Linked DNA regions of Nothobranchius furzeri. The protein of the gene in region 2 interacts with the protein of the main gene of each other region in a pairwise test. Links are inferred from orthologs where the notes say so. Each region holds a gene or a part of one and is shown on either strand. Other genes may lie near its edges.

Region 1 (16,142 bases), on a different chromosome or scaffold from region 2:
CCGCTTGGTGATGCGGCTCGCGGATGGAACGCGCTTCACAACTCGCAGCGTTTATGGTTCATGCGGCTTGTCTCTGCGGTGAGCCAATATTCTCCCAAACTGTAGGGGGCAGCATGGTGCTCTACGGCATGCATCCAACACTTCAACACGGTTGAAGTAAAAATTACTGTTGTTTACAACATGGCATTCCAGCATTTTTTTAACAGCGTCCTCGTCATTTCCGACAGTGCGAGCTATTTCTTTCCAAGAATTATTAACATTTTGATCACGGTGATCTCTGAGAGCTGAATCGTACAAATGTCTGTATTTACGAACCTCTGCCATACTAGTTCTTGCCGGTCCGCCATGTTTTTCCGCGTCTGACCATTTAGAAAATTTCCTAGGCGCGCGGTGCGGAAAGTTTGGGCCGTGCGGAGGCGCGGTGGAGGGGCGTGGTTGTTAAAATGACGCAATTTTGCCGCGCGTAGCCGTGCGGACCTCGCGGACGCCTCAAGCATAAACCAAGCTTTAGGCAGCTACATTCTCCCAGAGAGCCACGGTCCTTCAAAAGTGACTTAAATCAACTCAATGAAATGATTTTTGACATTTTCATTTCCTTACTTAGGTTTTTCCAAGAACAAGGAAGGTTATTTGCCACTTTCACATCTGGGTAAGGGTCAGGGTTTGTGTTTTCCGTTCCAAGCTGACACTTTTTCCGACCTCTTCCTCGACAGCCCCAGTGGGACCGAGGTGACACTATGAATTGATTGACCGGCTTAAATCCACGCCCACCGCCTCTAATATGTGAGTAGAATCAGCCAGCGCGGGTTTTGCGCATGCGCGATTCATTATTGTGGATGCTGTGGAGTAAACATCTCACCGTCTGCAGCATAGTGCTTCTGCTCCAGTGCAGCGGCACGCTCACAGGTAAGAGAGGAGAGAGCAGGGAGGAACACAGGCGGCCGTGACCACCTCAGGTCACAGCTGCAGCAGCGCAGCCCTGGCCACGCTGACCCGGGTGTGAAAGTGGCCTATATTTACATTTAAATGTTCACGAATATGCAGTGTCCCTTTTAAATAAATAAATAAAATAATAAATAAATCTCTAACGGTACTTAAACGGGTTCAGTTAAGGAAAAGATTTTTTCCAAGGTATAAACAAAAAGATAAATGAAAAGTTAAATAAATTCCTAGAAGATAACCAGCAGTAAACCAGTTTAATTCAGACTTAAACCAGTTCCAAATCCACATGTCCGATAAGTGATCTGGAAACTTAAATCAGACGAAGTCCTAAAGTAAAACCAGACTGGAAACCTGCTAAAGAACCAAGTCAGAACTTGTTACAGAACCAAGTCGCTCGAGGTTCCTGTACCAGTAGAACCTGCTGCCTTTTCTGGTTGGGACAAAAAGCCACAGACTGAGCCGAACTCAACATCTCAACCGAATCCTCCATTGTTGTGTTTTCACACATCACCTCACACTACTGAATGAACTCTTGGGGGTCGCCCCTAGGGTTGGGCATCGAGCATCGATTGGAACCGGGACCAACTGTTAGTCGAAATAAAGGTTTTTTATTCCGATTCCTAGAATACCGACGGAAGAGGAGTCCGCGGCCGATCTCCGTGAAAAATAAACGTGATCTGCAAATTGTGATCATCGCTTTTCAGAGCTGATCACGCCAGCTGTCTGTGAGGAAAGTTGACCATTGAGCAGCATTGATGGTTTATCCCTTGGGTCCGTGTGGCAGGGGTGAGGAGTGAGCACCACCTCACCCCTGCCACGTGGACCTCAAGGGACAAACCATCAATGCTGCTCAATGGTCAACTTTCCTGGTGGGGTTACCCATGAAGACAGTGGGAGGGTTAAAGAACAAACTCTGGACGGTGTGAGGTGAGTTTGTCTCACTGCAGAAATAAAAACACACACAGAGCGTCAGCAGTCAGACGCTCACCAACACTCGTGTGTGTGTGAGCGTCAGATGGCTGAACAATAACCTGTAGAATAATCAAAAGTCATCATGCTAGAAAAGCTTCTCTGTGGTGGACCACACCAGCTTCTGCCACAATAAATAATAATAATAATAATAATAAATCACACACAAAGTTGTGAACATTTTAATTTCCTTTCTGAACTATTTCTGTTGAGTTTTAATGTTTAAAATCTGTTAGATTGTTACTGACAGCAGCTGCGTTTAAGTTTCACTTCCTGTTCTGACTGAATGCTGCTGCAGCTTGGAGGTGTAGTTCTCAGTCATCCTGGACATGATCATCCTGAGAGTTTTAGCTGAAAACAGCTGGACGTTCCTGGATGTGTTGGAGACATTTAGCCTCTCATCCCAGAGGCTTCTGCCAGACTTTGGTTATGGTCTGAGATGTAATTTGGGGGGGGGGGGGGGGGGGGGAGGCACTTTTTTCAAAAGGTAGTTTTGGTCCTCTGCACTTTTTTCCGTCCAAAAACAATATTACGCTCCATTAAATGGATTTAGTTGAGCACTAGGACCGAGCCGGAAACCGGTTTCCTATTAGACCCAACCAAAAGCTAATCTATTGGCTCTGCTGATACTTGCTAACATATTATTGGCTGTTGCTGCTGTCACTCCCAAGTTGTAAACAGTCAGAACGTGCTCACGTTGTTTTGCTAATTTGCAGCCGCTAGGAGTCCGAGGGTCCACATGCCGGTATTAAGAGTCACATCGTCAACTAGACGATGTTAAATATCAGAGCTCAGCTCAGCTTCCATTACATAACATTTGAATAAGTGTTCACTTGTGAGACTTTTGGTAATCAGGCACAGCCGGCAACATGTCAAGAAAACGAAAAGTGGATATAAGAGACTTCTTTCAAAGTCAAAACGTAAGTTGGAACATGTGACACCCCTGCATTAACCCTTTGATGCATGAATTATGAAATCTTCAACCATGATTTTTTAAACAATTTTTTTCACTCGTCTTTAGGCGTGAATGAAACAAATTTCAACAAATATTTTTTGTAAAATTTTATAATTTACAAATATTTTATTACATGTCGATCTCAGTGGACAACGTGCATTCTGAGCATGAAATATGTTGGCTTGGCTTACTGAAGTCCAAATGGAGGGGCTCAAATGCAATAAAGTCTTCAACAGCTGTGCTTAATAGCTAAAACAAATAAATAACAATTTTGAGTACCTGTCCACTGTAGTGACCTTTATGCATCAAAGGGTTAAGCTCACTCACCTCCTTCACAAACACTCAAAACTAACTTTTACACTCATCTCCTCCACATAACTGACTCCTCAGACACTATTTATTTGTATTATTATTATTATTGTTATTCTTATTATTATCATTATTATTATCATTATTACTAGTAGTAGTAGTAAAGTGTAACTTCAAAACTTTTATCATTTAACTTTATTGTAAACTTATCTATTGCAATGTATATGTTCACATTATATAATTGTTCTATTCTTGTTAAGTGTCTTAGAACTTAAAGCTCTGAAAAATGATCAGTATCATCATCGTCAACAGAGATTTTTTTAAAGCTTAATGTCAACAATATACACTTTTTCATTAGATTTATCTTATTTTTTCCATTTCTTTTTGTTGTGTTGAAATGTAACAACTGTTTAAACACTTTTAAGGGAAAAAACATATTTAATATGTTTTTATACACTCATATTGGTAATGAATAACTTACACATTATATTAATAATAATTGTGAATCAGACTTGAACCGTCCTGTAAATATTTCTGTTTGTTCCATTCCAAAATTTCCCTCTGTTTATAGTTCATGCATCCTTTTTTCAGGTGACAGACATGGAGGAGGAGGAGGGACTGGTGGAGGTGCAGCAGGAGAGGCTGTAAGAGATGGAGGACGAGAGCCTGGAGGAGATGGAGGCTCACAGGTGAGGTTGAAATAATGAAGATACGATAGACATAACATTGATCTTTGTGACAAATGTTAGGGTGATGATCATGTGTAAAACATTGGTTCAGCATGTGGTATTGAGTTCAAAGCTGTCAAAGTTCATTCGCTTGCATGTACAGGGGACAGAAGCTAATTGGGCAGGTGGAGATGTTGGTGGCAGAGAGGCAGAAGACTCACAGGTGAAGCACTGGCTTGAAACATTGTGATAAAAGCTAATTTAGCTAATTATTTAGCACATTCTTATATTAAGGCTGGTGTACTAAATCTGTGCTGATCAGATGCAGCTGGAGCGCCTTCTGGCGAGGCAGATGGAGATCTTGCAGGACGCCGCTGTCCAGGAGCGACTGCAGGCTCTGGACTGGAGGATCCCCCCCGCTGCCTTAAAGTACCTCAGCGAGGCCCAGAACACCAATGGAGTCACAGCTGACACCAGCAGAGATGGCCATGGTAAACTGATCTTTGACATAAACTGTTCATGATACATAAAAACATGGTTTCTTTAGGCGGAAATTAACAAAAAATAAAAGCTGTTTTCAGCCAATTTATGATTTGTTTCTCAGTTATTTATAAAGAAGGGGCAGGTCTAAATACTCATCCTGCTACCAGCCACTAGGGGGCGTTAAATGCCTTTGTAGTTGTGTTTGTCGCTCTGCTGTTGCCGGTTTCCAATTAGAAGAAACCTTAGAGGGAACTAGCTATCCTGGACCTGAACTTTATTAAACCTGGTGCTTCCCTGAGTTTAACTTACTGATTTCATGTCCTGAGAGCAACAAGAAGTGGTTGAGTGGATTTAAACACTTAAAGGTGTGGTTCACTTGTTTAACCAATACATTTACAGTGGTCTCTAGTAGGAGTTAATCCTGTGTAAGTTGTACTCTGGTTACTAAAAGCCCTGGTGCACCTGTTTGGAATTGGAATCGTTCAAAATCAAACGATGCCCAACCCTAGTCGCCCCGCTCCCACGAACACCCCCCCCCCCCCCTGTTTACGGCAGAGTCGGGCTGCCGTGAGCAGAGGAAAGGGGACGAGACATTTTCTTCTACAGTGCATGCGGGATGCTGATTAATACAACAAATCTACCTCAGACATTAAATCTTCATATTGCATCAGACTGCTGGCCTGAAAGCAGAGCAGACAACACACAGATTCACAGCTGAAGGACGGGGGAGTGGCAATGTCAGCGGCAAGGAACAGGTCACATGTTTAAATTCATCTTCAGAGTTAAAACTATGGAGAGAAAAAAGTCTCAAAAGATTTATGTGTGCGTAACTAAAGATGTGTGTGTATCTAGATTTATGTGTGTGTAACTAAAGATTTGTGTGTGTGTTTGTGTAGAAAGATGTATGCATGTGTAAGTCTTGATTTTTAACTTGTGTTTACATTTTCTTGTGTAACATCAGCTCCTACGCATACAAATCATTGAATACACACACACACACACACACACACACACACACACACACACACACACACACACACACACACACACACACACACACACACACACACACACACACACACACACACACACACACACAAACATCACCTGGTACACACAGACAAAACTACATTACACACAGATTTTGAACGCTTGGTGGAAGCTGAGAAATTAGAATTTCCTTTGGATTTAGTCTAAACTTGTGTTGACGGGACAAATTTGTTTTTCTGTGGAAAAATAGAGTATCTCAGGATCCTGTAGTCATAACAGATAGACCAGCATTTAATATTTAATAATCTAAAAATGTTTATTTAGACATATATGTGTTTATGAGCCATGCAAATGCAGTCAAAGTGTTGTATAAGAAATGGTCACTAGATAAAAAGCAGGTTTCAAACTGGAAGAAGGCATGAAAAGATGGCGCAGTATCCTGGTGACCTTTCCTCAATAAGAATTAAACCTGCCCACTTTGCAGTCTGGTTATAACGAGACCGCTGTTATCTTAGACCGTTTATTTGGTTTTAAAGGTCTGACAGATTGATACACTGTCCCCAGACTAGGAAGCGGCTAACAGGCCAGTTTATGTGTGCGCACAACATCATGTAAACTGCTGCCCCACCGTTATTGCACACACACAAACTGGCCAGAGATGCACTTCCTTGTCTGGTGCATCCATCTACACACACCCTGAGGACCCTCCGTTGACTTCCATTCATTTTTGTGATTTCACCATGCCTAGTCCACACCCCAACCCTAACCATAACCAACGCAGATCTATTCTTAACCTTAACTAAAACTTAATTCACACTATACCTCTAATTGGTACAGTAAGCTTCTGGTATGCTTCTAAAAAAGTGGACCAAAAAAATGTCCTCACTTTGTAGGGAAAATGGTCAAAATGGTCCTCAGTATGTAGTATGTACAATAACACACACACACACACACACACACACAAACACACACACACACACACACACACACACACACACACACACACACACACACACACACACACACAGTTACGTGCTCTGCCCCTTTTCGGCCACAAGATGGCCTCGGTGGCTTCTGCCTCGCCTGTCTCAGCTGTGTGTAATTGGGCAATCATGGGCAGCTGTTAAAGGCTGCCCTCCTGCCCACAGTTCTTAGAGAAGGTCCAGGGTAGTGAAGGCTCGGAAGAGTTTTTGCTGCTCTCTTCTCCTCGCGTGTGTTGGTTAGTCTCGGCTTTAGGTATTCGCTTTGGTATTAGGATTAGATTTTGACTCTCTGGTATCCCCGATCTAGGAACGGCTATTTGACCTTGTTTGTGGACTTTTCCCAGCGTTCCTGCTTAACAGGACATCCCTCCGTTAGCTTGGAGTTTACAGCGATTGTATTTTGGTTAATTAATTCCCCCTCGTGCTCTTAGTTCCCCGTTTGCGTGTATTTCCTTTAGTTTTGTATGTAATAAGACAGTCACTTTGTTTTGCTTTTCTTTCTGTAATTAAAATCCTTGGTTCAGCGACACAGCACTCCGTTATTATTCAACCCACACACCAACTTTATTTCTCCCTCAACAACATCTCTCCTAGCGGGCTGGGGGACGTAACAGCGTGGGGGCTCGTCCGGGAAGGGTCTCGCTGCTTCTGCCATGTTCCTCTTCCAAACACCTGCCGGCTCTCCCTCGCGCTGATCTTACTTGCTCCAGTCTGCGCGCAACGGCGGGCAGGGTTTGGAAGAGTTGTGCGACACAACGAATCGATGACACAATTCGTACACACACACACACACACACACACACAGATCTTTAGAGACTTTTCTCCCCATATAAAACTTGTTACATCAGGAGATCTTTGTTTTTTTTTTTTTTTTAATCTGTTTAATCCGAGAGCTGGAGCAGGAACTCACCACGGCATCCAGGTCTCGAGGACCAACGAGGTGCTCTATTGCCTTGAAGTCATCAGGAGACATGGGCATCATGTTGTCCTGCAGCCTGGAAGGGTGTCTGGACCAGAGCAGAACCAGTCAGAACCTCGGGTTATTCCAACATTAAACAGGTCTGTTTAGTGAAGGCTTACACTTCTGAGACGGATATGAGCTCCGTTTTCATGTAGCCGCTTTTATCCGTGTTCTCCACGTCCATGGGCTCCTGAGCTGGAAGGCGATGAAACTGTGATCAGGATGTGTTTTATTCTGGAGCTGAATGAAACTCAGCAGCAGCTGTGAGGCTTACTCTCTGACGGTTTGGGGTAGTATTTCCCAAAAGCCTTGTCTTTGGGAATGTTGGGGTAGAGGAAGCGCAGAGGGTTTTCTGGGATGTTCTCGGCTGCCATCACCTTGTAGGTGCGGATGATGTCCGGCAAAGACACGGCTGTCAACTCCTTCTTTGTGTACGGCTCTACAGAGTGGTAAACCGGCTTGTCTGGGGGGAGGAGAAACAGGAAGTAGATTGTTTTAGGAACAGGAAGTTTGAGCTCATCGGAGGTGACAGGTATTGTGGCCCCCATAGGAGATGTTACCGTGGACGTCATGCTCGATCCAGGTGAAGGTGATCGCTCCCTCCTTGCTGCTCTCACTGAACCTGAGCAGGAAAGTCCCAGGACACTTATCGCTCAGCAGAGCCTTCTCCCTCTCTTTACTGATGAAGCCCATGATGCAGCTGCACACAACAAACACACCCATCAGTTGGATTCCGTCCTCGAGGAAGCGCTGCGTCATCACGGCAACTCACCCGTCGTTCCACAGGGACAGCAGGTGGCGTTTGATCAGGTCCAGGATTCCTTCGATCCACAGCCAGAAGGGAAACGTCTTCTCGTTGGCTCCTTGCTGCCGAGCAAACGACAAGAACTTCAGGTTCTGCTCCAGCAGCACAGGATGACAGCAGGTGCTGCAGGGCGACTCGGGCTCACCTTACAGAATTTTGTCCAGGGGATGAGTCCTTCTGGATTCCTCTGAGCTTTGGCTCCTGAACAGAAACACGAAAACGTTCAGATATAAAGACTCAAACCCAGGGTAAAAGAAGAGAGCAGAACCAGATCAGACAGGCTGATCCAGGATCTGTTTGTGTGTCTGACCGAGGAGTTTGTCAGCCAGCATGTTGAGCTGCTCCTGGTTCAGTCCTCGCTTGGTGACGGACGAGAACTGCCAGCTTAGAACCTCGGACAGCTGAGACCACTTCGCCGCTGGAGGGTTGAGGAAGAACTTCAGGTTCTGGAGGACAGATGGTTCTGTTAACAGCAGAGCGACACAGGGCTGACGGTGGTAGAAGAACCGGGTCTCACTTTGGGTTCTGTGGTGAGCATGTTGTACCAGAGGATGGAGGCCCAGCCGCTGGGTAGCTGGCACACATTGGAGATGACCACGACGGGCAGAGACACGGCCTGACACACAAACACACACCTCAACACACACGCTCGCTGGAGTTTGGTCTGCAGAAGTTGTGTTCGTGTCTCGTCTCACCTCCAGCAGGATGGTGAGTCCAGAATGGTGCAAATGCAGGTCGGACTCAAAGCTGAGCGAGTGGAGTTCCTCTGTGACGATCAGAGGCGCCTGAACAGAAACACACAAAGGTCCAGACAGGGACGAGGGAGGGATTAATCTCAAACCCGAAGAACTAAATCTGCTTCACTTCAGCAGCTGGACGACGACGAGACGTAGACGTTTGTTGGAGAAATGTTTTGACTCTCCAGATCAAATCAGTTTGTGATGCAAAAATAAAAATAAAAGTTTTTATTTTGTACATCTGTGTTGTCATTAAAGCTGACATTTACATACATATATAATAAACATGAAATCAAAGATACTTTATTAATCCCAGAGGGAAATTAAGAGTTTCAGTACACACAACTCAGAGATCAGACATACATGGGCATAGACACATGACAAGAATTGGTGACTGTGGTCATTTGCAACCTGAGTCGTGCTACCTTAATAGAGAAAAGAGGGTTACATCAGGATTGGTTCAGGTGGAGGGAAAGACAGAGTTGAGTTGCCAGAGCGACGGCACATTCCACATATCTTCTGAGGGGGGAGTTTTCATTGGAGCCTTGCTGACTCAAGGACGCCAGATTCCTATTAGAAATTGTTTTGGGGCCAGACAGAGATAATTTCCTCTCTGTCTTACAGTTTGTTGGTCCTCAACCTCTCAAAATCCCAATAATGGGCATTAATCTATCCCAATCCGTGCTGATTCGTCCACTCTATCCTTGACAGCATCCATCTTTGTGCCAATGAATGAATCTCGGCCAAAGTCCCAAGCTTACGATTCATCTAGACAATTATGTGAGTCTGTGAATTCACAGCGTGGTGCAATCCATCTCTGAGCCCCGGGATCAAGCCAATATTCCTCTACAGCTCATTAATTTTCCGGTAAGCCAGGTAGCCTCCAATGCTGATCAGCAGGAACCCCGACACCAACACCACGAATATCCACACATCTTCAGAGTCCTCCACAGACAGCTGGTCTGTCATGGAGGGGCATCTGGGAGCCCCTTCTCCCGTTCTCATCGTTGAAAAGATTTTATCAATCGCGTTGAGTGACCAACTGACGAGATCCATTTGAGTGAATTTCAGTTTCCAGTTTCCAGAGAAAATGCAGATCAGCCGTACACCCAGCACGCAGAGACAGACAAAGGGCCTTGAGGATAAGTTATGGAGGAGAGGAGGAGAAAAGCATCTGCACCCTCCAAGAGCCGGAAGAATTTGTGACATGTAAGCTGTTCCTGTAATAAATGACCTCTGGAACTGAAATAAAGAGGAGTTTGAAGCCTCATACCTCGTTTGTCCTGTTGCCGGCGGTTTTCTGCTCTTTCAGTTGCTGAATGGAGACAAAAACAGGTCAAATAAGCAACTCTACATCTTTAGTCTCACCCAAAAGGCTGAGAGGCAAAACATAACAAACAAGGAATTTTCAGCTCATCGGGACTATCCCAATCCCATCACAGACGTAGTCTCTTCCACCTGAAACCTTTGGCTCATAAAACCAGACGTCTACATCAGGGTTGTCACAATCCTCAAGTGCTCCTCAATCAAAAATTGAAAATGCACCAGAACACTGAACAGAAGCAGTGGCGCGCCCAGAACATTTCCATAGGGGGGGCCAGTAAATGTTTTGGGGTGCCTCATCAATTCACTTTGAGAGCGTTTAGCCTGTAGCGATGCATTTCAGGCTACTTTATGTATTTTTCATTAAAATACAAAATACATCAAACACACTTACCATCAAATTCGATATTTGAGAAAAGGACACATTTTCCAAGTTATTTTAAATATTGTTTCAAAATGTATTGTTTATCACCTGCTGCCGCCTTAAAAATATTTACATTTTTTTTCAAAATGGTAAATCTAAATCGGACTTGTAATTGCAGCAAACAGCAGAGTTTAGTCTTGCGTCTACAAGCTGCTAATTAGGAATTTGTCTACCTGGCATGTACACAGCACGCTGGGTTTCACAGCCCCGGGTCTGACTCATGAAGAGTAATCCAAAGTATAACAGAAGTAGCTCGGCAAGCCATCCTATATAAGTGAGCATATAGTATGGCCATAACCTATAGACAGAGCTCAGTCGTGGGGCGTGGATATACAGTTCGGGTGTCTTTCAAACTACCTCTGCATGCTATTGGACAACAAACACAGTGATATACTCACCGCTACAGATGCCAAAGCCGTTTCAAATAAGCTGCCGCTATCTCAGTAGTTTCGCTCCATCGCATTATCTCCCCCACTAAACCTATAGAGCGCTGTGATTGGCCCACTAAACCTATACAGCGCTGACAGGCCCACCAAACACTCTATCTCGGGGGATTGAACTATTCTGCCACCTGCTGGCATAATTTGGTAATTATTGTTAGTTTTAAGACATAAGAAGACGAAGAAGAAGAAGAAGAAGAAGAAATCTTTTCTATAGTGCCTCTTAAAGGGACTTTATGGACTTTTGAATTTTTATGCTCGCGACTGCCCCCTCAGGCCAAAAGCGTAACGGCAGCTTCAATAGTAGGCTCGTGCATGAGGCGTGCATGCTGTACGTGCACACTCCTTAACGAAAATAACAGCTGAGACAGTCCCGTGTGTGTGTGTGTGTGTGTGTGTGTGTGTGTGGCCCGGAGGACAGAGGCAGCTAATTAATTAAATAATTTGGTTCTGTACCTTTCTCTTCAGCACAGCCGACAAAGGGTTATGATGGGTCAGTCCTCCTGCATGCTCAGATCATTCCCTTCCCTTGCTTGAAAAATTGTTCCAAAATGAAAGTTGAACCCACATCTTTTTTTATCTGTGAGTTCAATGCCGTTCGGCGAATCTCAAATAAAAATTTGGGCATCTTACTGTAAAAAAAATATACCATTAATGTAAAAAAGAAATTCTAAATATACTATAATCACATACAGAATTGAACCCGGGTCTTCTGCACGAGAGTCTGACGTCTTACTAGGTGAGCTACACTCTAGTAACATTCACTCTATCTGTAACATTTATATCCTTGATGACAGCTGAGGGTTCGGAGCGAAAATGGCTATTTTGTTGCTAATTTGCAGGAAATATCTAGAAGAAAGTTCTACAGGAAGTAGCTAAGGGTCCTCAGAAATGTAGCTAGCTTTGTCACTAGGTGTTAGGAACAGCGACAAAGTCTACTACCTCTCTCTCCGCTGCTAAAGCTACGGATAGCAAATGCTACAGGCGATGCCTGAGCGTGAACGCGCATGAAGCAGCCTGCTCGACCCGAGCATCTCTCTTTTTCTGTGGTTTTACAGAAAAACAGGCAATCACAGTAAAAATGCCAGGCCTCATTCTACAGGACCAGGGCATTGCAGGAGAATGTATGATGAAGACATTTATTATTTCTATACATGTTTTGGCTGTCAAACTTCCTTATAGTCCCTTTAAGATAAAAATCACGAGGTGCTTCACATAAACTAAAAATTTAAAATATAAAAAATAATTTAGAAAATGACTAAAACTATGTTTACAATGAGCAAAAATAGACAATTGTGATAAAAAGTGTAAAGAAAGAGAGGGAGTGAATAGGAGAGAGGGAAAGAGGGAAATCAGGGGATCATGAGGAAGGTGGAATAAGTAGGGAGAGCAGAATAAGGACTGTAAGTAAATATTTAAGAATTTATGCATTCTAAAACAGTTTTGTTATTTTAAATCCATATTTGTTTTCATATTTAGTGTTTTTACTAGTTTTTATATTTAAACTGTGACTTTAATAAATTAAAAGTGATATTAACAGAGCCTGACAGGTTTAGAAATGACACCAGGTGACATTTCTGAGATGTTATCAGATTTATTTATTGCAACACTGCATAATTTTTGTTTGTTTTAGGAGGAAAACGATGATTTTAAACCGAGTTTTACGATAAACTCACTAGATGTCGGAACTCTGCAGCCAGGCTGCCGTTGGACTCCTCTGTGTTCATCACTTTAGTGTTTGTGCCCAAAATGTTGAACCTCCGAAACCTGGTTTTAGACACATAATCACTCAGGGATACATTTAACTTCTCAAGAATAAAAAAAAAAAAAACTTAGTTGGATAGATTTCTTATAAACAAGTCAAAACGTTAGACACTTACCCTTTTTTGTCTGCGACATCCCTAAGGGGAAGAAAACATCCATATTTAGAAATGTATGGGTCTGAAAATGTGGAACGTGTGGAAACAGGAGATGATCTTACTTATCAAAAAGAGCTTTGACTTTGAGTTGGTAGTTAAACTCTTGAAGCTTCACCAGAAACCTGAAGGGGGAAAAACAGGAAACTAATCTCAGAAATGCACGTTTATTAAGGTCAAACCTTTCTGCTTTTGAAACTAACGGGAAAAGAGCAGCTCAGTCAGCGTTCGCTCTCTGCAGCAACTCCAGTTAGCTTTAAGACATGAGTTCTGATGGGCACGTGTTAAAGAGGCCCTTCTCTGGCTTGACTCGTGTAAATATTTGTTTCTCAGCTGAAATTCTGTATGATTCTGTTTTCATGGTTTGGTTTAGTTTCCTACCGGAGTTTCACGGTGAACTGGACGCCTGTTTTCAGCACCATGGGTCTCTGTGGGTGGGTGGGCATGCAGGGCTGTCTCTCTATGACCAGTGAGCTACACACACACACACACACACTCATCAATATTGAATACAGACAACAGCGAGATTGCTAACCGATTTATTTGAGGTTTCCTACCTGGAGAGGAGGGTCTTGAGGAGCTCCAGAGCTCGGCTCTCCAGAAACACTTTCTTCTGAGGGATGGGGTCGTTCTCATACGTGAAATTTTGCTCCAACTCATGCATCTTCTTCAGGTGTTGACGCACCTGCTGGAGACTCTCAGCGACTGCTGTGAACCTGCAGCAGGGTGTTTGAGAGTTGAAGCTCCTCCAAGCCTGATCACTTCCTGCTCTCCAGCATGTTTAACATCTCATCAGTTTCAATGTGAATAAAACTGATCAGATTAATGAGGAGCAATGACTGTTACGACCCAGCTCATAAGGCCGCAACATAAAACAAAAACTGAACACATTCGAGAGCTTTGAGTATTTTTTTTTTTTTTATTAAATGTAGCCTATAACCCTCCCTCTGTCTTTATGGGTGACCCCGCGAGGAAAGTTGGCCAATGAGCAGGATTGATGGTTTATCCCTTGAGGTCCACGTGGCAGGGGTGAGGAGTGAGCACCACCTCACCCCTGCCACGTGGACCTCAAGCATCAAACAGTCATCAAACAGGACAGAGAGGAAGAAAGTCGTAGGCCAGCTATTAACAACTGGTTCACACCATAGGTTCACACACACACACACACACACAAACAGCAAGGGGGAGGGGGGTGTAGAGGAAAAGAGAAAAGGCGGAGAGGAAATGGAGGACACCAAGTGATTAAAAGAAAAACTACGAGGCGCGCCTCGACCGGAGCGGAGAAACAAGCGTCTGGTCGGAACTGAGGAGCAGCGACCGAATTACGTGAGCACTTCGCCTCCCGGCGCTTCGGCGGCCGGTGTGTCCCCGGCGTAACTTAGGCTGGACCTTCTACTGTGGCTCTGAGTAACTTTAGTTACAGTTACTTTAAACAATCAACTGATTTTATAAATATAGACAGGCCCACTGTAACATAATGAAGGTTTAAGCAGCTTTTTAAAGTTTTCACTGAATATTTGTGCTGACTTTCCACAACAGAATGACAGTAAAAGTACCAGTAACGTCTTTAGACGTATTTATGTTTATTTTCCACTAATAACATCTCACTGAGAACAGATCCATACTGTTTTGCAAGTTTTTCTTCTTCTTGATTTCAAATCTCTTATAAAACATGTAGGGAAGACGTGCCTATAGGGTTTAGCCTGCATGCACCTGAAACAACAACCGCAGCAGCTTGTCTGCCAGAATCTTCTTTAGGTAAGGATGAACCTGTCTAATTACTGGGAAAGCTGTTTTTGACCAACACTTGATTGAACTCAACTTCCCGCCCCCTCCAAAAAAAAAGAACACAAGCCTCGGGAGACATCAGTTAAGGCTGAAACTGAAAGGAGACAAACCTGCTAATGTTCTGGACAGAAAACTGACGTATCTGGAGGGGATTTTGATGATTTTACGAACTTTTAAGTTCCAACCGCTGCCAGATGTTGAGGCGACAGTAGTGGCGGCGCCGTGATATCGGCTACCGCAGCGTTTTTCCCCTAGCTGTCTCTGTGACTGTGATTGGTCAAATGGCAACTCGTGACCCACTAACAAAGATGGTTTGTGAAGAGGATGAACACTCCTCATTTTTCTGAAACTGATTCTTATAAAGAGCGACTAAAATCCGACCAGACTCGCCTTCCCTAAAACAAAAACTCTTTGATTCATGTGAACGCATTTTTTTTCATAAGCGGCAATTTTCGCTGAAAAGCGTCAAGTTTGCAAGTATGAGACGAACGTATTTTAAAATCACGTCATACGACCCAAATTTAAGACTTTACTAAATCGATTTAAGACTTTTAAGACTTTTTAAGACCCTGAATCAGGACCACACCAAGCCCCTCTGGTCTGGTCTGGTCACCTTCATTTAAACCCTTCATCTTAATTGACTTGGATTGATATTACCACTAATTTTAGGGATTTGGGGGAAAATTCAGGTTCCATTAGATCCAAAAACTACCATAATCTCCAACCTTGTGTATTATTCTGATACTTCTAGATCCAGATGTCTGTCAGATGTGAACTCCAGCTTGATGCCTTCTCCTGATGTCTCAGATTTCTTGGTAACTCAACAGAAGAAAATAAAGTTTATCTGAAGCTTCTGGGACAACAACGGTCTCACCAGTTCTGCAGCTGGTCCACGCAAGCATTGGGCGGACCGCCAATGCACGCTATCTGCTGCCGCTGCTTCCACTCTGGCAGCTCCTCGGAGATCAGGTCGGTTATCAACCCCTGGATGACATTCAGCAGTTCATTCAGGTACACCACAGCATCCTGGGACACGTGCAAGAAGGCACGGAGTTTTAGAAGGTTTGGACTCAGCTTTCTACTATCATAAAACTGTGGATTAAGAATCTCACGTGGCGTTTGGCTTTCAGTTCAAGGCACATCTTCATGATGACTAACTTCTCTGCCTCCAGCTCCTTTGGCGTCATGCCGTTCACGTCGTTCTCTGCAGGTGATGGACATAACCAGACATCAGCTTCACTCAAACATCAGAACAAGCCACTTCAGTCTAAGTTTCCTTGTTCTTCTGGGTCATCTGCACTTTCCTACCTCTGTTCTTCAGCGTGTTGAATTGGAAATCGTATTCATCCTGCTGGTCCTCCAGATTCTTCAGGTTCTGGTCGATAATCTGAACAAAGGAAACTCTCCTTTAGCTGTGGTAAAGGAACAGCAGAGATTATTTAAATGTGG
Region 2 (16,787 bases):
TTCATATATATATATATATATATATATATATATATATATATATATATATATATATATATGTGTGTGTAGTATATGACCTTTTATTTAGTCTCATCAGAAGTTGGTTCTAAAATTTCTTAGAATCAACCATCGGAATCAACACGTGCCCTTTTGGGTCTAAAAATGAGTCCTGCAGCTCGAAAAGTATCTCGTAGGCAGAGGTCACAAACGGCATAAAGCTGGGAAAGGTTTCAGGACATGCATGGAGTCAAATGGGCGGGTAGGACTCCACCTGCTTGGAGGTTTCAGCTGAACATGGTTGAGGTACAAAAGAAGTCCTCTTCTCCTGAAGAAAAAAATGTGTCACCTCAGGTCGCTCCTTCAGATGAGTTTTGATGAAACCAAGCCCTGTGGAAGACTAAATTTAAAGATTTTAGAATAGAACATGCTAGAAAATCCCTTTATTGTGGGAAAATGTTGGCGTCATCGCAGCAGTTACATTTGTTACAGGAGCAAAAATAGAGTAAAAATACAGGGAATTATAACAAAGAAATGCTTAAAAGATTTAAAACGCTCAACGGTCCAAAAATCTAAATATTTCATTAATACACATTTTAAAGAATGAAAAATAAAATAGTTTGTGGAAAAAGATGGCAGATTGTTTACAGGGAAAGGGAACAGAAACTGAACTAATGCATGGGTGTGTGAAAACCACAAAAGCAGCAGGAATGAAGAAATGCAAAAGTGATTATTTACTGGTTTTGTTGGGAGCAGTGATGGTTTTTAATCCTATCAGCTGCTGGGAGGAAGAACCTTAACAATCCTTCATACACCCAGGATACAGCAAACTGCCACTGAAGGAGCTCTCCTGCTCCAGGATTACGATTTCCCAACAAATGCATCAAATAACTTAACTAACTTGTTGCATTCTAGTCGATGTATAAAGAAACTCATTTGCATTCATAATTTCATAATCAAAGTGTGAACTATTCACATAGGGTCACAGTGATCTGATCATTAATTTACTTTAGTTGTCATTTGTCCTATAACACATGCCTCACGCATCAGTTTTGCATTTGTGTAAAACAAATACGAGTTAATTTTATTTGGGAAAACAGTTACACCGCTTCTGGATTATTCAGATTAAAAAAAAGAAACATTTTTAAAATTTAACCAAGATTCATGATCACTCTTCCAACAGGTCCTGAACTTTGGGACAAGAAGAGCAGCAGAAATCAGCTCTGGGTCACAACGGGCCTTACTTCAGCAATGGTTAATTTTTCTAACTTACCTTTCTGGAAAATGCTTTAGAAATCTAACAAACTGCACGGCATAGGACCTAAAATCTAAAAGGAAAAATAATTCAAGCTTGAAAATGCACTCACCAGGGGAGCACAGCTCAATTTACCCTCGATAGTCATTTATAATCTGATTAATTTAATCCGACATTTAGTCTTGCTCATCTTAAAAGTCATAAGATTATTATATTGCTCCAGTTACCCCATCAAATGTATCAGTAAAAACAAAGATGGGACATTTCCTTTGGACTGAATTGTGATCTTGCTATTATTCTAAAACACTACCCATGGTGTCATTTTGTTGTTTGATTGTCTGCATAGTTTTGGGATAGTTCTGATAATGATGATTTGTACTGATTCTCTGCATCTTTGATAATTTCCTTCATCTTCACCTGTGACATCGCTACAACTTGTGAGTTGTTTTTGCTTTTTGTCAGAATTAAAATCAATTAAACAGGAAATTTCAATATAAAAACAGCCACAAATATATTTTTTCTAAATTGTCTTTTATTAAACATATTGATCAGCAGATATCCCAAAGGATAGAGCTATGAAAGTTACAAAAGTCTCAGTGGAAAGCGGACATCAGGATTCTCGGTATTGCATTTGTCCCCTCCACCACCAGAGGGCGCCACAGTTCTACCTGGTAACAAAACTTTGTCAGCGTTTAAAGCATAGACTGTACATTTAAAGATAACACTGGATTACGTTAAAATAAGCTCTAGTAATGTCATTTGTGAACAATCATTCAGTGCAGCAAAACTTTAATGATATGTCCACCTGAAAAATAATTAAGAATTGTGCATAATCAGTGGATCAGTAGTCCAGAGTTGACCGGAGCTTTTCCTATGGACACAGTTTGTTTTTAAAATGCAAAATCTAAAGAAATGTTTTCTTAGTGGGAACTGCAGATCAATGTGGAGGTTTGCAGCAGAAGAAACAAAGAGCTCGTTTGTTTATTGGCAAAGTTCATAAACTGCAGTCTAAAACAAATGACTACAGAAGCATGTTTGAACAGTTCTATGTTCAGTTTGTTCTTGCTGTTAGGAGTAAAGATTTGGAAGAAAACCTTTGTGTCTTCACCGATCTGCAGCATACAGGTAATGATAAAATCTGGCTTCTTTCCAGTTCCACTTTCACATTAAGCCTCTGTGGGCCTCTAGCCGCTCGTCAGTGGTCCGTTCCTCTCAAAGCCACCTCTAACCCATGCTGCTGTTGTTCAGCTTGGTCCACTCAAAGATGTCCTGCTCGCACACGATGTCCGAGTTGAGGAGGAGGTAGCGATCGCCCACACAGAAGTGCTTCTGGCAAGCAGCACATTTGAAGCACTCCAGGTGGTACACCTTGTCCCGCACACGCATCGTCATCTCAAAGGCCCGGATCCTCTTCTCACAGGAAGCACAGAGACCGTCCTGGCCAAAGAGCCTGGGTGCATCAGACAGAACCAGAACGTTAGAGGAACAAAACCACCTTTACCGTTTAAGTTCCCTCCATACAGGATGAAACATTAAAATCCTGACGTTACATCAGACCAACCTGAGATAATCCCGTCGACACAGCTTTCTACCCAGTTTGTAGTAGAGCCGACGGCCCACCTCACCCAGCCGGCAGCCACACAGATCACAGCTCAGGCAGTCCTCATGCCAGTACTGCTCGATTGCCTTTAGGAAGAATCTGTCACCAATGCTCTGCTGACACCCACCACAGGTCAGCAGGGCTGGTGGCATCTGGAGGACCTCGTCAACAGGCTCCCTGTACAACAAAAACACAACCCAAACATTTAATATCTGCCTGCGACAGCAGCAACTGTCCTGAGTAGAGGCGCTGCTTGTCGACAGGAAGGGCAGGCAATTGCTTGGAGCCCCCAGGCCACAAGGGGGCCCAAGAGGGCTGAAAAACACTGAAGTCTGAACTACAACAGCAATAGAGCTCCGGACCCCACGTGACTCTCAGTTAGTGGACGCCATTTTGGCATGCAAAAAAGGTAAACAAACACGGATGTAACCATGAACATGAACGGGATCCGCTTGGATTTTACTTCGTCTGAGTTTACGTCACACTTAAAAACAGAAGAAATCGTTTTATATAGTCAGAAATTAAATAGACTAAACATCTCCGACCCTTACCGTGCCCCTGGGATACTTTTTAAAAATGCCAGAAGCTGTCGGAGCGGACTTCTTATCGGCACAACACCGGACCTGACCAGGGAACCCCTTGGGATTTACCCGGCCGGAGGAGCTGGGGAGAGGTCTGGGACTCTCAACTCTACTGCCCGCTCCGACGCCAGAAGCTGTCGGAGCAGGCTTGTTACCGGCACAACACCAGACCTGACCGGGGAACCCCTTGGGATTTACCCGGAGGAGCTGGCTCCGGCAGCTGGGGAGAGGGAAGTCACGCTACTGCCCCCGCAACCCGACTCCGGATACGCGGATGAAAATGGATGGATGGACGGACAAATAACAGATTCACACGCAAGTAGTCTCGGTGAGACAGATAATAGCAATCCAAAGTGCTTTTTATGTGTGATCTGACAATTGATCAACCACTGCTTAAAAATTAAATACAGCTTAGCCGGTTAACTGCTGTGATCATAAAACACGTAAACGGCAGCACGCAGAACTCACGAGGCAACGTTTTACGTGATGTTCACTTGTTGCTATGAGTAATAAGACAGAAAAAGCCACGCCAAAATAAGTTTAGGAAGCCCACTAAGAATCGTAATAAAAGCATTTAAAATAAATACCATACACAGTTGAGGACACGTTGTTTAAGTACCTGATATGAAGCGGTCGCTGCATAAGCGAAAACCTTTACTCTCGGGATCCCACAGCTTCATTTTATCCCGGTCACTAACGTGTTTTATTACAATGATCCAACGTTTGCGGCGCTCCGGAACTTGGGGAATCCTGTAGATGACTCATTCCTTATGTCGTCCGCGTCTGTTCTGCATCCTGGGGCACAACAGGAATCTACCATATTTCCCGTTTGATTGAATTTTCTGACAATAACAAATAGTCCAGCTGCCGGCTTCTGCATGCCAATATGGCGCCGTTTCGATTTGAACTGTTGCATGCCGGGAGATGTGACGTCAACTCCCGGAGCTCTATGGGACTGTGAAAAGCTGTAATTTGACATAACTTGGGCTGTCTCACACTACCCAACAGGGCACTCCTCCTCCCCCTCACTGCTCTGCCACACATTTCTGTCTGTGCACCCCCCACTCCCACGCTCAAATAAACTGCAGCACACTTTCCAGTCTGCAGTGTTTGCTTGGAACCCCATGACAATCTTGCAGCACCACTGGTCCTGAGTTAGTAAAGGATGTAAGATATGACTCATACACACCTATCAGGAATATTGTTTAGGAATTTTCTTTAAAAAAATGAAAAATAATATGTTGCTACTACTAAAAATGTGAAAAGGATTCTTGAAACACTTGATCGGATCAAACAACGAAGATGTTTTTCCAGAACTTTTGAAACATTTATTTTAAAATATGCAAGTAATATTTAATATTTCTTTTCTATCTTTTAACAGTTGATCTTCAGCCGGAAAAAGGTAAATGCCTTCTCCAGGTCAGGGACAAGGTCCTGCTTAAAGTGGAGGAGTTTACATGTCTCAGGGTCTTGTTCATGAGTGAGGGAAAGATGGAGGACAAGATCAATAGGTGGACTGGTGCTGCGTCTGCTGTGACGTGGGCGTTGTACTGGTCTGTTGTGGTGAAGAGAGAGCTGAGCCGGAAGCTGAGCGTCTCAATTTACCGGTCAATCTATGTTCCAACCCTCACCTATGGTCACTAGCTCTGGGTATGAGATTGTGAATACATGCAGCCGAATTTAGTTTTCTCTGCAGGGTGTCTTTAGAGATGGGGTGAGCAGCTCGGTCATCCAGGAGGGGCTTGGAGTAGATCCGCTGCTTCTCTACATCAAGAGGATCCAGTTGATGTGGCTCAGGCATCTAGTTAGGATGCCTCCTGGACACCTCCCTGGTGAGGCTTTCTGGGTAAATCCAACTACAAGACAGGAAGACCCAAGACACGCTGGAGGGACTATGTTTCTCGTCTGGCCAGGAAACACCTTGGGCTTCCTCATGAAGAGCTGGCCCAAATGGCAGGAGAAAGGGAAGTCTGGGACTTTCTAGTTGGGCTGCTACCCCCCATGACCTGACCCAAGATAAGCAGACAAAAATGAATGGATTTTTGATCTTGGCTTATTGTAGAAAAGCCCTCAAAGTCTTGCATTTTGGGAAAACATTCCCTTTGTTACGCTTATTTTGTAGTTGGCCGGAAGTCTGCTCCAGAAGTCCAGCTAGAGATAGAGATAAAATGGCTTTAGGTTCATATCTCTCGAGGTTTACGTAGCTCTAGTTTGTGTCCCGGGTTCCTCTCTGCGATATGTTGCTGCCTGGGGGATAGCACCGGGACATGGTCGAGTGTGTGCGTGGATGAACAGTAAGTGCAATGTTGGACTGATTATGGCTATCGAGTTAATTATTATGCATTTCCTGTCCCTGTGAAAACGCTGTTGATATACCTTCCCTCGGGACCGATCGGCGCTGGTCTGCTGGTGTCGTACGAGGAGGCATGAATGTGCTTTGTATGAGTATACGGGAATGTAGAGAAGTACAGCGGTGTTGTTACAGTGCGGGAATGGGAGTTGGTTCAGAGTATCTGAGCTAAGCTAACCCGCCACCGGAAGTACCCAGTCGGGAAAATAAAAGCACTCTTTTGTTTACAGACCGGAAGTTGACCGACGACGTCAAGGTTAACTTGACAAACCTTAATATAGTGGCTTTATGTGAGCAGATGATGATGATTTAGTGACCTCTGACTGTTTAGTATGGTTATTAACTGATGATGTGGTGGCGGAAGGTTAATATTCTGATGTGTGTTAATTGTTTAATAAGGTTAAGTTATACATACGTCATATTTGTCATTCTGCAGGAAAACCACACCCATGAGCTATCATGTCTATCAACTGCTATCCTGATTTACTTGTCCTAACCTATGGGCTATAATAAAGAAGCCAGGCGCACAACTACAATTATGACTCATCTTCTTTATATTCTGAGGGGCTTTAAGTAATGCTCTGGCCAGCATTCCCAGTGTAAAGCGAGTTTCAACCTTGGTCCAACGCCTTTACAGTGTGCCTTAATACACTTATGTTACAACTCCTGTTCCCATTATGGCTGCAACATCTGACTCTAAACATGTAGTTTAGTTTAGTTTTACCTTACATCCGTTTCTTTAATTTTTCCTTAAATTTTCTTTATGAATATTATAAGCAGAAACATCTGATCTCATCGTCTTGCACGTGGGATAGTTTTCTGATAGAATGTGTTTATTTTAGTTGACTTACTCGTTTGCTTCCAGTGTTTTCCTCTCTATGGTAGAAGTCATTCTCGAGCCTGATCTGGATACTGGAAGGCGCGCTGCACCTGCACCCCTGGTAAAAACCACTTTCAGATCGCTGGAAATAAAAAGCGAACTCAAGAAGCAGCTCCCTTGTTTCCAACAGATGCAGAACAAGAACAGCTCCCTCTCTAATCAGCTAGACGCCGATGGAGGAGGACGCTGTCATCATTTCCTGAGGCAGCAACACTTCCATGCCTTGCAGGTCCCACAGCGACTAGAAGAACCGCGCCAGTGCGGTTCGATAAGGAGGGTTCTGCGGGGAGGAAGTAGTGCGTGTCCGAGTGGCCAGCAGCTGCAGCAGCAGCGCGTTTAAATACATTGGGGCCCTTCGGGCTTTGCTTTCGCTTCTCTCTTCCTGTTTCAGCGCTTCACAATGAGGGGAAACGGGTCTTAAAGCGACAGCAGAGCTGCTGGTCTGTGAGTCGTGCAGAGGGTCGTGATGGTCGTGACTGACTAATGAGTCCATCTGCTGCAGGAGCTGAGCTGATAAAAACACCTGCTGGTAGTTTTATCTGCCCATCATGTCTTCCTTTGCTTTGTCTGTAATTAATGCAAGTAAAACATCTAAACTGTTCATGTCAAAGGCAAATAAAAATATATTCTTATGTTTTGTTCTAGAATATGTGGCCTGCTGTTTTGCAAATAAATGAATAAAGAAAATTTAGAATCATCTCAAATTGAGCTTGTGCTGCATTTTTGTGCCACATTCCTCAACATTAAACAGATGTGCTGAATTTCTGCTTTAAATAAGGAAATGTAATGTTCAAATTTAAATAATGTGCACACCTCGTACATTTACGCAGACGCTGTGAAGAGGAACATTACCCTTCAAAGATAATGTGTGAAATTTAAAGTTCTGATTTTTACATTTTTCTCTTCAGAAATTTGCCAGCAAAGCTTAACGAGTCTAGAATGACTATAGAACGTTCTAGAATGAAAAATATGATTTATTAAAAAAATATATATACTAATCTTTTACCCCTATAATAAAATGTATTTCTTGTCGTTTTTGGCACACTTTCCTTTTCAAACCAAAGCGCCAGTGGACATGTCTTATCTAGTGCCAGAGCTGCAGGGTAAAAGAGGGAGGGACACACACATCAGTTGGACTGTGAGGACAGATAAAGCGCTTTAGTTCCAGCAGTCAGAAACAGTGCATGAAGATCAGAAGCAAACTGTACACTGTAATAAATTGTAGGACAGAATAACTTAAAAACGAAAGTTCAACAGCTGCCTTAAAAACTTGAGTCATGTCAACTTAAATGAAAACTTTCAACTCTATATGTCAAGTTTTACAAATATCATAAATAATAACTTTGTTTGAATATTATATTATGAGTCGAAACAACAAATCTTATTAGATTACAAAGTGGAAAAATCATTTTGTCTTGTTAAACATACACACAATTCTACATTATGTTAACTTATAAACTTGAGTTAGACATGTATGGTTGTCCATTTAAATTAAAAGTTTTTATTAACTGAACAAATGGATTAATTGTTTGAACTTGTGTTATCAAAACGGCAGCTGTCATGCCAATACAGGCAATCGGTGAAGCAGTAGTTATGTGACGTTCACAAACTAATTGAATGTTTTGAACGGGTTTTCAAAGTGAACGATGAGAGCCAAGTCCCTGTAGAGAACCGTTCGTCTTGCCTTCTGGTAACAAACCTCCCCGGAAGTCGGTAAAGCGCACCCGTTCAAACCCCACCCACCGCAGTGACGGACGTAGGAGGGACCCTAACCAACCCCGTGCGCCCTCACGGACACCACAGGAACACGTTGCTCTTTTTAAATCTCTAAATTGCAGTTTTAAGTTGACTGAACGCATGAGAATGAGGAAAATATAAGCATTTGTTGAACAACAAGCAATTTTAAGTTTTCAATATTAAAACACACAAAATTGAGTTTAACAATTAAAACTTAACAGGGAGACTTAGGTGAAATAGGAAAAAGTAATTGAAATAACTTTTTGAGGCTGTCTTTTTTTACAGTGTAGATGTAGGTTAAATGCTTCCCTGAGCTGTTGGACTCACTGGACACACACCGAGCTGAAAAGGCCCAGGAGCAAGGTGAGGAGGCTGGCTCTGCAGCGTGCCAGCTATACACAGAAACCAGAACAGCTTTGCAGGGATAAAACTCAAACTGCAAATCCCTTAGAGGAAAAAACAATACAGTTTTATCTGCTGTCTTTGCAAAGCAGAGCCCTAAAACAGAAAACTGTCACATCTTAACCCATATGCTGCAGGGAATAACTAAAATAAGCTGACAGCAGAAAGGAGGAAGAAGAGACAGTTAACATGACACAAGTGATCAGCTTCCTGTGGAGATGACTTCTAAAAGCTGAGAGGATGTGCAGCTGACATGCAGAAATTATGTTTTTATTATTTTAAGGGGTGTAGGGTTGCACACTTCCTAACCCCATCATGCATGATGGTACATCACAGATAGACGGGCTGAGTCCAGATGCTGCTGTGAGATAGGCACGACATCGCTCATATAGCATGAGTGCAAAACTTCAGCTTGATGTATTTTATTGATGAGATTCTGTTCTGTGTGTAAAAGCTTAAACACCACCAGAAAGGATGTGAACCTTACAATATGTTAACTTTTACACCTTGATGAAAGGCTTTTCACACTCCATGAATAAGGGCTTGAGTTCTGGTGGGAAAGCAAATAGTTAAAAATGTGACCAGCTCTATAGGAAAAAGTGCCACTCTTGTCTAGCTTCCTGTTTTGTTTCGTACTGACAGCATTACGGGGTCAAGAGCAATGTGAAATCTGAGGGAAGCTATAATCGCCATCGCTGAGCAAACAGAATAACTCAATTATTAAGGTTATCGGCTTTATGAATTTTAAATGTAATAATAATCAAAGCCCAGTTAAAAAGAATCTTCTAAAATGATTTAAGGATTGGAGACATGTTATTAACTTTTTAGAGGCTAACTTGCAATAATTTAGCTTCATGTTGACTTTCTGTTTCTCTGAATCATTATCCCCAACCACTTCCTGTCCATCTAAAAGTGTTGCTGTGTCACACGCAATCCTGAATGCCAAAAGTTTGAAAAATGTTCACTTGTTCCCCAAAAGCCTGTGTTTAATCTTAGTCTGAACCTCAAAAGGCTGGTAGTGAAGGTCAGAGGTCAGACGAGGACCCAGCCTGGAATCTGCTCAATTGTTGCTGGAGTGAAATGCAGCAGCCTGCAGGAAATGAGTCGCTCGCTAAAGCAGAGCTTCTCTTGGCCTTGGGATCCTCCCATAATCAGTATTATCCTTAACCCACTGGAGGCAGGCGTTGCAGATTTGCAACGTTAAAACCTACCTACCTGGTTACTCCACATACGTATTTCATGAGCATTTTGTAACTCAGAAGTACCCCTGAAGGACTTAGTTGTTCATCCTTTTATCAAAACTTATTTTGAGCCTGAGAGGGTTAAAAGAAAACACTTGCAGTGGGATAGTGCAATCAAATAGCTGCATGACCATGTAAGTGGCTTCCTGCGTTTAGCAAAACAAAGGAGAGCAGATTGCACACGCTTTCAAATGAGCAGCCAGACCTACACTGTTGTTAAAATAAAATTTGAACTAAGTAAGATTGACTCAAACCTTCCTGATATTCCTGGGATGTTTGCAAATTAATAATACACAACATTCAGTATCAATGGCTTTATAATAATAATTATTATTATAATAATTATAATTATAATTATTATTATAACATGTATTTATTTTTATTTATTTATAACATGAATTTTATTATTAATTGGCACTATGATCTATGATGTTTGCACTGCAGGTCATGGTCTCTTTCTGTTTATGTTATTGTGAGTCTTTACTGCCACCTACTGGATTAAGTAGCAAACCATTATATATATATATATATATATATATATATATATATATATATATATATATATATATATGTCACTTTTCATGTCACTGATGAAGCCACCTAGCCTGGCAAGCCAGACTAAATAAATGTATTATTTAAACAAACTTTGCAAAGCAAGAATTTGGTCTAGTTCACTAGGCTAGGAGCCACCATCAGTGACATGAAAAGGCTGCAGCATGTTTTGCGCTCTGCTGAGAAGGTCAGTGGCTGCAAACGAAAACTCCTCTCCATGCAGCACTTGTACACCTCCAGGACATTGAGGTGGTCTCTTCGACTTGCTCCCATCTGGTAGGAGGTTACAATCCATTCGGACCAGAACCTCTCGCCGCAAATCTGTTTCTTCCCTTCCGGGACTCATGAATGACAATCGTAGACCTGCCCACTCCAGCAGCTTTGTTTCAGTCACATGACCAGTCAGTGTTTGCACCAGGTTTGCACCTGAACTGACCTGCTCTGACCAGTATCTACACTGACTTGTAAAGTAGCTGCTTTTCTAATTATTGATTTCCTACCTTATTATCATTTCATTGCGTTTATTTCTTAATTCTAATTTTGTTTTTCATTTATTTTTTTCTTGCACCAAGTACCGCAGCAATTTCCTAATGTTGTGATTCTCGCACATGTGGCAGTAAAAAGTAAAACCCATCTGATCCTGTTACAAACTGGAAACTTATGAATCCTGGACATACAAACTTCTCAAATTACCCCAATACTACACATGTTACACTTTTTACCTTGTGTCTATTTAACTAACTGTGTGGGTAGGGATAAATAAATTAGCATTTAAAGGGTTTTAAAAACCCTTAAATTCCTAAAACAATTTAATACAGCTTAAATGAATGTTTCAGCATCATATCAATGTTTTCACACTTAACCACGAATATTTCAAATACATCTATAAAGTTTACATTTAGTTTTACTCAGCACTTTTTTTACTAGTATAATGACAGGTTCACTTTGCAGCCCTGAGCTCCTGAAGATTGATTTAGTAGCGCGTTGAGTTTTTTAACAGTGTGGAAATGAAAAAAATGTATTTGCAGAAATAACGTAATTATATCTGAATGAATATTATTATTATTATTATTATTATTATTATTATTATTATTATTATTATTATTATTATTATTATTATTATATATATTTTTTTGTATATTTGTATGCTTTCACTGAAGTGCCAGAATCAATCCATGCTTCTAAGGCAGTTTCAGGGTTAGTTTATGGAAAGCGTCCTTCTGATGATGTGGGCACTTCCGAGAAGAACAATCTTCTGGATTTCTTGGACTGTTGGGTTTCCAGGAATCTGTTTTGTTCTCTTTTCCAGTCCCTTCTTGATGAGGCCAAGTGCACCCACTACGACGGGTATTGTTGTTGTCTTCATCCCCCACATTCTTGTGACTTCTATTTCCAGGTCCTTGTACTTTGATAGCTTTTCAAGCTCCTTGGTGGTGACATTTTTTTCAGATGGGATGGTCATATCAATCATGAGGCAGGTCTTCTCTTCTTTGTTTTTGATGACTATGTCTGGTCTGTTGGCCATGATTTCTCTGTCTGTGTTGATTGGCATGTCCCACAACACTGCGATGTTGTTGTTTTCAGTCACTGTTGGTGGTTGGTGTTCATACCACTTATCTGCAGCTGGTAGATGGAAATGTTTGCAAATCTTCCAGTGGATATACAGGTGCTGGCCAGTAAATTAGAATATCATCAAAAGGTTGAAAATATTTCAGTAATTCCATTCAAAACGTGAAACTTGTACATTATATTCATGCAATGCACACAGACCAATGTATTTCCGATGTTTATTACGTTTAATTTTGATATTTATAGGTGACAACCAATGAAAACATCAAATCTGGTATCTCAGAAAATTAGAATATTCTAAAGGCCAATGAAAAAATGTTTGTTTCTCTAATGTTGGCCAACTGAAAAGAATGAACATGAAAAGAATGTGCATGTATAGCACTCAATACTTAGTCGGGGCTCCTTTTGCCTCAATAACTGCAGTAATGCGGCGTGGCATGGACTCGATCAGTCTGTGGCACTGCTCAGGTGTTATGAGAGCCCAGGTTGCTCTGATAGTCGTCTTCAGCTCCTCTGCATTGTTGGGTCTAGCGTATTGCATCCTCCGCTTCACAATACCCCATAGATTTTCTATGGGGTTAAGGTCAGGCGAGTTTGCTGGCCAATCAAGGACAGGGATACCATGGTCCTTGAACCAGGTGCTGGTGGTTTTGGCACTGTGTGCAGGTGCCAAGTCCTGTTGAAAGGTGAAGTCTGCATCCCCATAAAGTTGGTCAGCAGCAGGAAGCATGAAGTGCTCTAAAACCTCCTGGTAGACGGCTGCATTGACCCTGGAACTCAGGAAACAGAGTGGGCCAACACCGGCAGATGACATGGCACCCCACACCATCACTGACGGTGGAAACTTTACACTGGACGTCATGCAACGTGGATTCTGTGCTTCTCCGCTCTTCCTCCAGACTCTGGGTCCTTGATTTCCAAAGGAAATGCAGAACTTGCTTTCATCAGAAAACATAACTTTGGACCACTCAGCATCAGTCCAGTCCTTTTTGTCCTTGGCCCAGGCGAGACGCTTCTTGCGCTGTTTCTTGTTCAAGAGTGGCTTGACACACGGAATGCGACACCTGAATCCCATGTCTTTCATGAGTCTCCTCGTGGTGGTTCTTGAAGCGCTGACTCCAGCTGCAGTCCACTCTTTGTGGATCTCCCCCACATTTTTGAATGGGTTTGTCGTCACAATTCTCTGCAGGGTGCGGTTATCCCTAGAGCTTGTACACTTTTTTCTACCACATTTTTTCCGTCCCTTCGCCTGTCTGTTAATGTGCTTGGACACAGAGCTCTGCGAACAGCCAGCTTCTTTAGCAATCACCTTTTGTGTCTTGCCCTCCTTGTGCAAGGTGTCAATGATTGTCTTTTGGACAGCTGTTAAGTCAGAAGTCTTCCCCATGATTGTGGGGCCTTCAAAACAAGACTGAGGGACCTTTTAAAGGCCTTTGCAGGTGTTTTGAGTAAATCAGCTGATTAGAGTGGCAGCAGGTGTCTTCTATATTCAGCCTTTTCAGAATATTCTAATTTTTTGAGATACCAAATTTGGAGTTTTCATTAGTTGTCACTTATGAATATCAAATTTAAATGTAATGAACATTGGAAATACATTGGTCTGTGTGCATTGCATGAATATAATGTACAAGTTTCACGTTTTGAATGGAATTACTGAAATATTTTCAACCTTTTGATGATATTCTAATTTACTGGCCAGCACCTGTAGCTTGCTGCCCTGTCGTGTCTGTGGATGTACTCAGTTCTGGCTAGAGTGGGGCAGCCTGAGACAATGTGGTCAATGGTTTCTTCATATTGGCTGCACATTCTACACATGGGGTCTGTTCCATCTTTAATGATCTTGTGGTGATATGATCTTGTTGACAGGCTCTGGTCTTGTGCTGCTATCAACAATCCTTCAGTTTCTGCCTTCAGTCCTGCACTGCGTAGCCACTGATGAGTATGATCTTGTTCTACATCAGCTTTTTTTACTCTCAAGGGGTATTGTCCATGCATTGGTTTTTCCTCCCATGTTTCTCTCATCCTTTTTTGTGCCCATTTCTTTGCCTCCCTTCTGGTCCTCTTGGCAAAGCTTGTCACTGTTTCTTTCTCTATTCTTGCCACCTCTGGGATGTTTAGTTCCTGTGCATATCTTATAGCTTCTTTTGTAACAGAGTACAGCTTCTTTCGAGCTTCATGTTGACAAACGAGGATCAGTAGGGCATCGTCTGTTGTTTCAAGGTAGGTTTTCAATGCCATTGTTGTTGTTTTGTAAGCCATCTCAAGTTGTGCAAGTCCTCTGCCTCCAATCTGTCTTGGTAGATACATTCTTTCAACATCCGCTTTTGGGTGGTGCATTCTTTCAGAAGTCAGCAATTTTCTGGTCTTGGTGTCTAGTTTCTTTACTTCTTTAAGTTGCCAGTTGATGATATTAAAACTGTATGTAACCGTTGGAACAGCTAAAATGTTGATGGCTTTGATCTTATTTGCAGCATTGAGTTCACTCTTGATAACAAGTCTAACTCTTCTGTAGTACTATTTTTTTACTTTTTCTTTCATGGTAGCATGTTGTATTCCATCTCCTTCATTAACCCCAAGATATTTGTATGTATCCTCTTGATTGAGCTCCATTATGACAGTCTCTTGGTCCAATTGTATGTTTGATGTTGATGTGAGTTTTCCTTTTTTGAATGTAGCCTTTGCACATTTGTCAAGTCCAAATTGCATGCAGATGTCATCACTGAAGAGCTTGACTATTTGCAGTAGTCCCTCTTGTTGGTTATCATTTTTGGCATAGGTCTTCAGATCATCCATGTGAAAAAGGTGGTTGATCTTCTTGCCTTGAACCTCATAGCCATGTTCACTGTTGTTTAGCATGGTGCTGAGTGGGGCTAGACATAGACAGAAAAGGAGAGGTAATAGTGAGTCTCCTTGAAAGATACCACACCTCACTTTTATTGGTCTTGTCTTGATGGATCTTTTGTCATAAGTGAGCATCATAGTGGTCCTCCATGATTCCATACTTGTCTTCATGAAGGTAATGAGAGTTGGTGAGATTCTATGAAGTTCCATTACTTTGATGATCCATGAGTGTGGTACTCTGTCGAAGGCTTTCCTGTAGTCTATCCATGCTGTACTCAGGTTTTTCTTCTTTCCCTTGCTGTCTTCCAGTACCATCTTGTTGATCAGGAGTTGGTCTTTGCTTCCATAACTACCTCTCTTACAGCCTTTTTGTTCTGGTGGTAGCATGTTGTTGTTGTCGAGGAAGGTGTATGTTCTCTCTGTGATAATACTTGTGAGAATCTTGTACATCGTTGGTAAGCATTTGATTGGTCTGTAATTCTTAGGGTTTTTTGTGTCATTGGTCTTGGGTAGCAGATATGTTAGACCCTGTGTTAGCCAGGTTGGGCTCTTTATTGGTGTTTTAATAATTTCTGTGTATTCTCTTGCAAGATCTTCATGTATGACTTCAAGATGTTTAAGCCAGAAGTTATGTACTTTGTCTTCTCCAGGTGACTTCCAATTATTTGCTTTCTTTAGTGCCAGTATTACTTCTGTCTTGCTGATGTTTGTCCACTCCTGTACTGGTCGTCTCTTCAATCTTCCTGCTTCTTCTTTGATCCATTGTGCTGTCTCATTGTGGTTTTTCTGTTTTTCCCAAACATTGCTCCATATTATTATTATTATTATTATTATTATTAGTAGTAGTAGTAGTAGTAGTATTATGTTGTTGTTGTTGTTGGTGATGGTGGTAGTGGTGGTGGTGGTGGTGTTTTCACTACAAGTCAATTTACAATAAATCCACAAATTTTAATAATCCTACTGACAATCACCTCAGACTTAGATATTTAAACTCATTAAATGTATTTTATATAAAAATAGTCTTGTGTTGCCATTCTGACTTGTTTCATGCGATGGTTTCATGACCTATGCAGCGTTTGAAGAAAGTACTGCTGTAAAATAATGTACACAAAACATCCTAATCAAAGCTAATGCTTGTGCAGATTTTTTGGGACGAGGTCGTAGACACGTTTGCCTGATCACAAATGTAAGCCGTTAAAGGTTTACATCCAATTAAATAACTTGTCTTGGTAAATAAGTTTTATATTTGTCTGTTAATTGAATGTAAATATCTTAGTAGTAAAATGATCTTTTTAAACGATTATCTGTTTCACGTTTTTAATCCGGCGCATTTGAAACAGCTAACAACGAACCTCCGCCTTTATAAAGAGTTTCTCAGCCTTTCGAACTGTCTCAGTTGTCGGTGAGGCCGGCCGGGCGGATCCCACACTAGAGTAAAAGAGAAAATAAAGCAACACAACAACAATTACAACTTGGCCTTTCTTTTTGTAAATTAAGTTAACAAGTTCCCCAGTGGATATATATCAGCAAGGTGGGTGAATAAGAAGTCGGAATGTCGAGAAAACGAGGCTCCGGGCCGGTTGGTGGTCAGCACGCTTCAGTTATTGCTATCAGACGAACAAGCTAACAGTGCGCCGCGATGCTAACTCTGCTAACGGCGGAGCGGCCATGGCTAGTTTACTAAGAAAATGCCGTGAACTGACTACACCGTAGAGGGATACAATCATGCGTTATCGTTAGTTACATCTTTATGACTCCTTCCAATCAAAATTATTATTTCTA

The links.
Region 1: the proteins of lmo2 (region 2) and stat1a interact in a two-hybrid assay, tested with the Homo sapiens proteins (2 studies listed by BioGRID and IntAct). The two-hybrid records come from large-scale screens. The link is inferred for Nothobranchius furzeri from reciprocal best matches to the Homo sapiens genes LMO2 and STAT1.

Annotation. Positions count from the first base shown.
Region 1 is NC_091743.1:83,718,916-83,735,057, reverse strand, and holds the end of stat1a (signal transducer and activator of transcription 1a), read right to left. Parts: intron 16,081-16,142; coding exon 16,002-16,080; intron 15,898-16,001; coding exon 15,806-15,897; intron 15,720-15,805; coding exon 15,568-15,719; intron 13,622-15,567; coding exon 13,463-13,621; intron 13,380-13,462; coding exon 13,287-13,379; intron 13,031-13,286; coding exon 12,971-13,030; intron 12,891-12,970; coding exon 12,870-12,890; intron 12,757-12,869; coding exon 12,666-12,756; intron 10,118-12,665; coding exon 10,076-10,117; intron 8,851-10,075; coding exon 8,761-8,850; intron 8,682-8,760; coding exon 8,583-8,681; intron 8,512-8,582; coding exon 8,376-8,511; intron 8,267-8,375; coding exon 8,211-8,266; intron 8,128-8,210; coding exon 8,033-8,127; intron 7,961-8,032; coding exon 7,821-7,960; intron 7,724-7,820; coding exon 7,535-7,723; intron 7,456-7,534; coding exon 7,380-7,455; intron 7,307-7,379; coding exon 7,210-7,306; intron 7,011-7,209; coding exon 6,864-7,010; 3' UTR 6,845-6,863; downstream 1-6,844. UniProt on the Homo sapiens protein: Signal transducer and transcription activator that mediates cellular responses to interferons (IFNs), cytokine KITLG/SCF and other cytokines and other growth factors.
Region 2 is NC_091744.1:61,974,469-61,991,255, reverse strand, and holds lmo2 (rhombotin-2), read right to left. Parts: upstream 6,822-16,787; 5' UTR 6,676-6,821; coding exon 6,635-6,675; intron 3,030-6,634; coding exon 2,814-3,029; intron 2,703-2,813; coding exon 2,477-2,702; 3' UTR 2,216-2,476; downstream 1-2,215. UniProt on the Homo sapiens protein: Acts with TAL1/SCL to regulate red blood cell development. Also acts with LDB1 to maintain erythroid precursors in an immature state.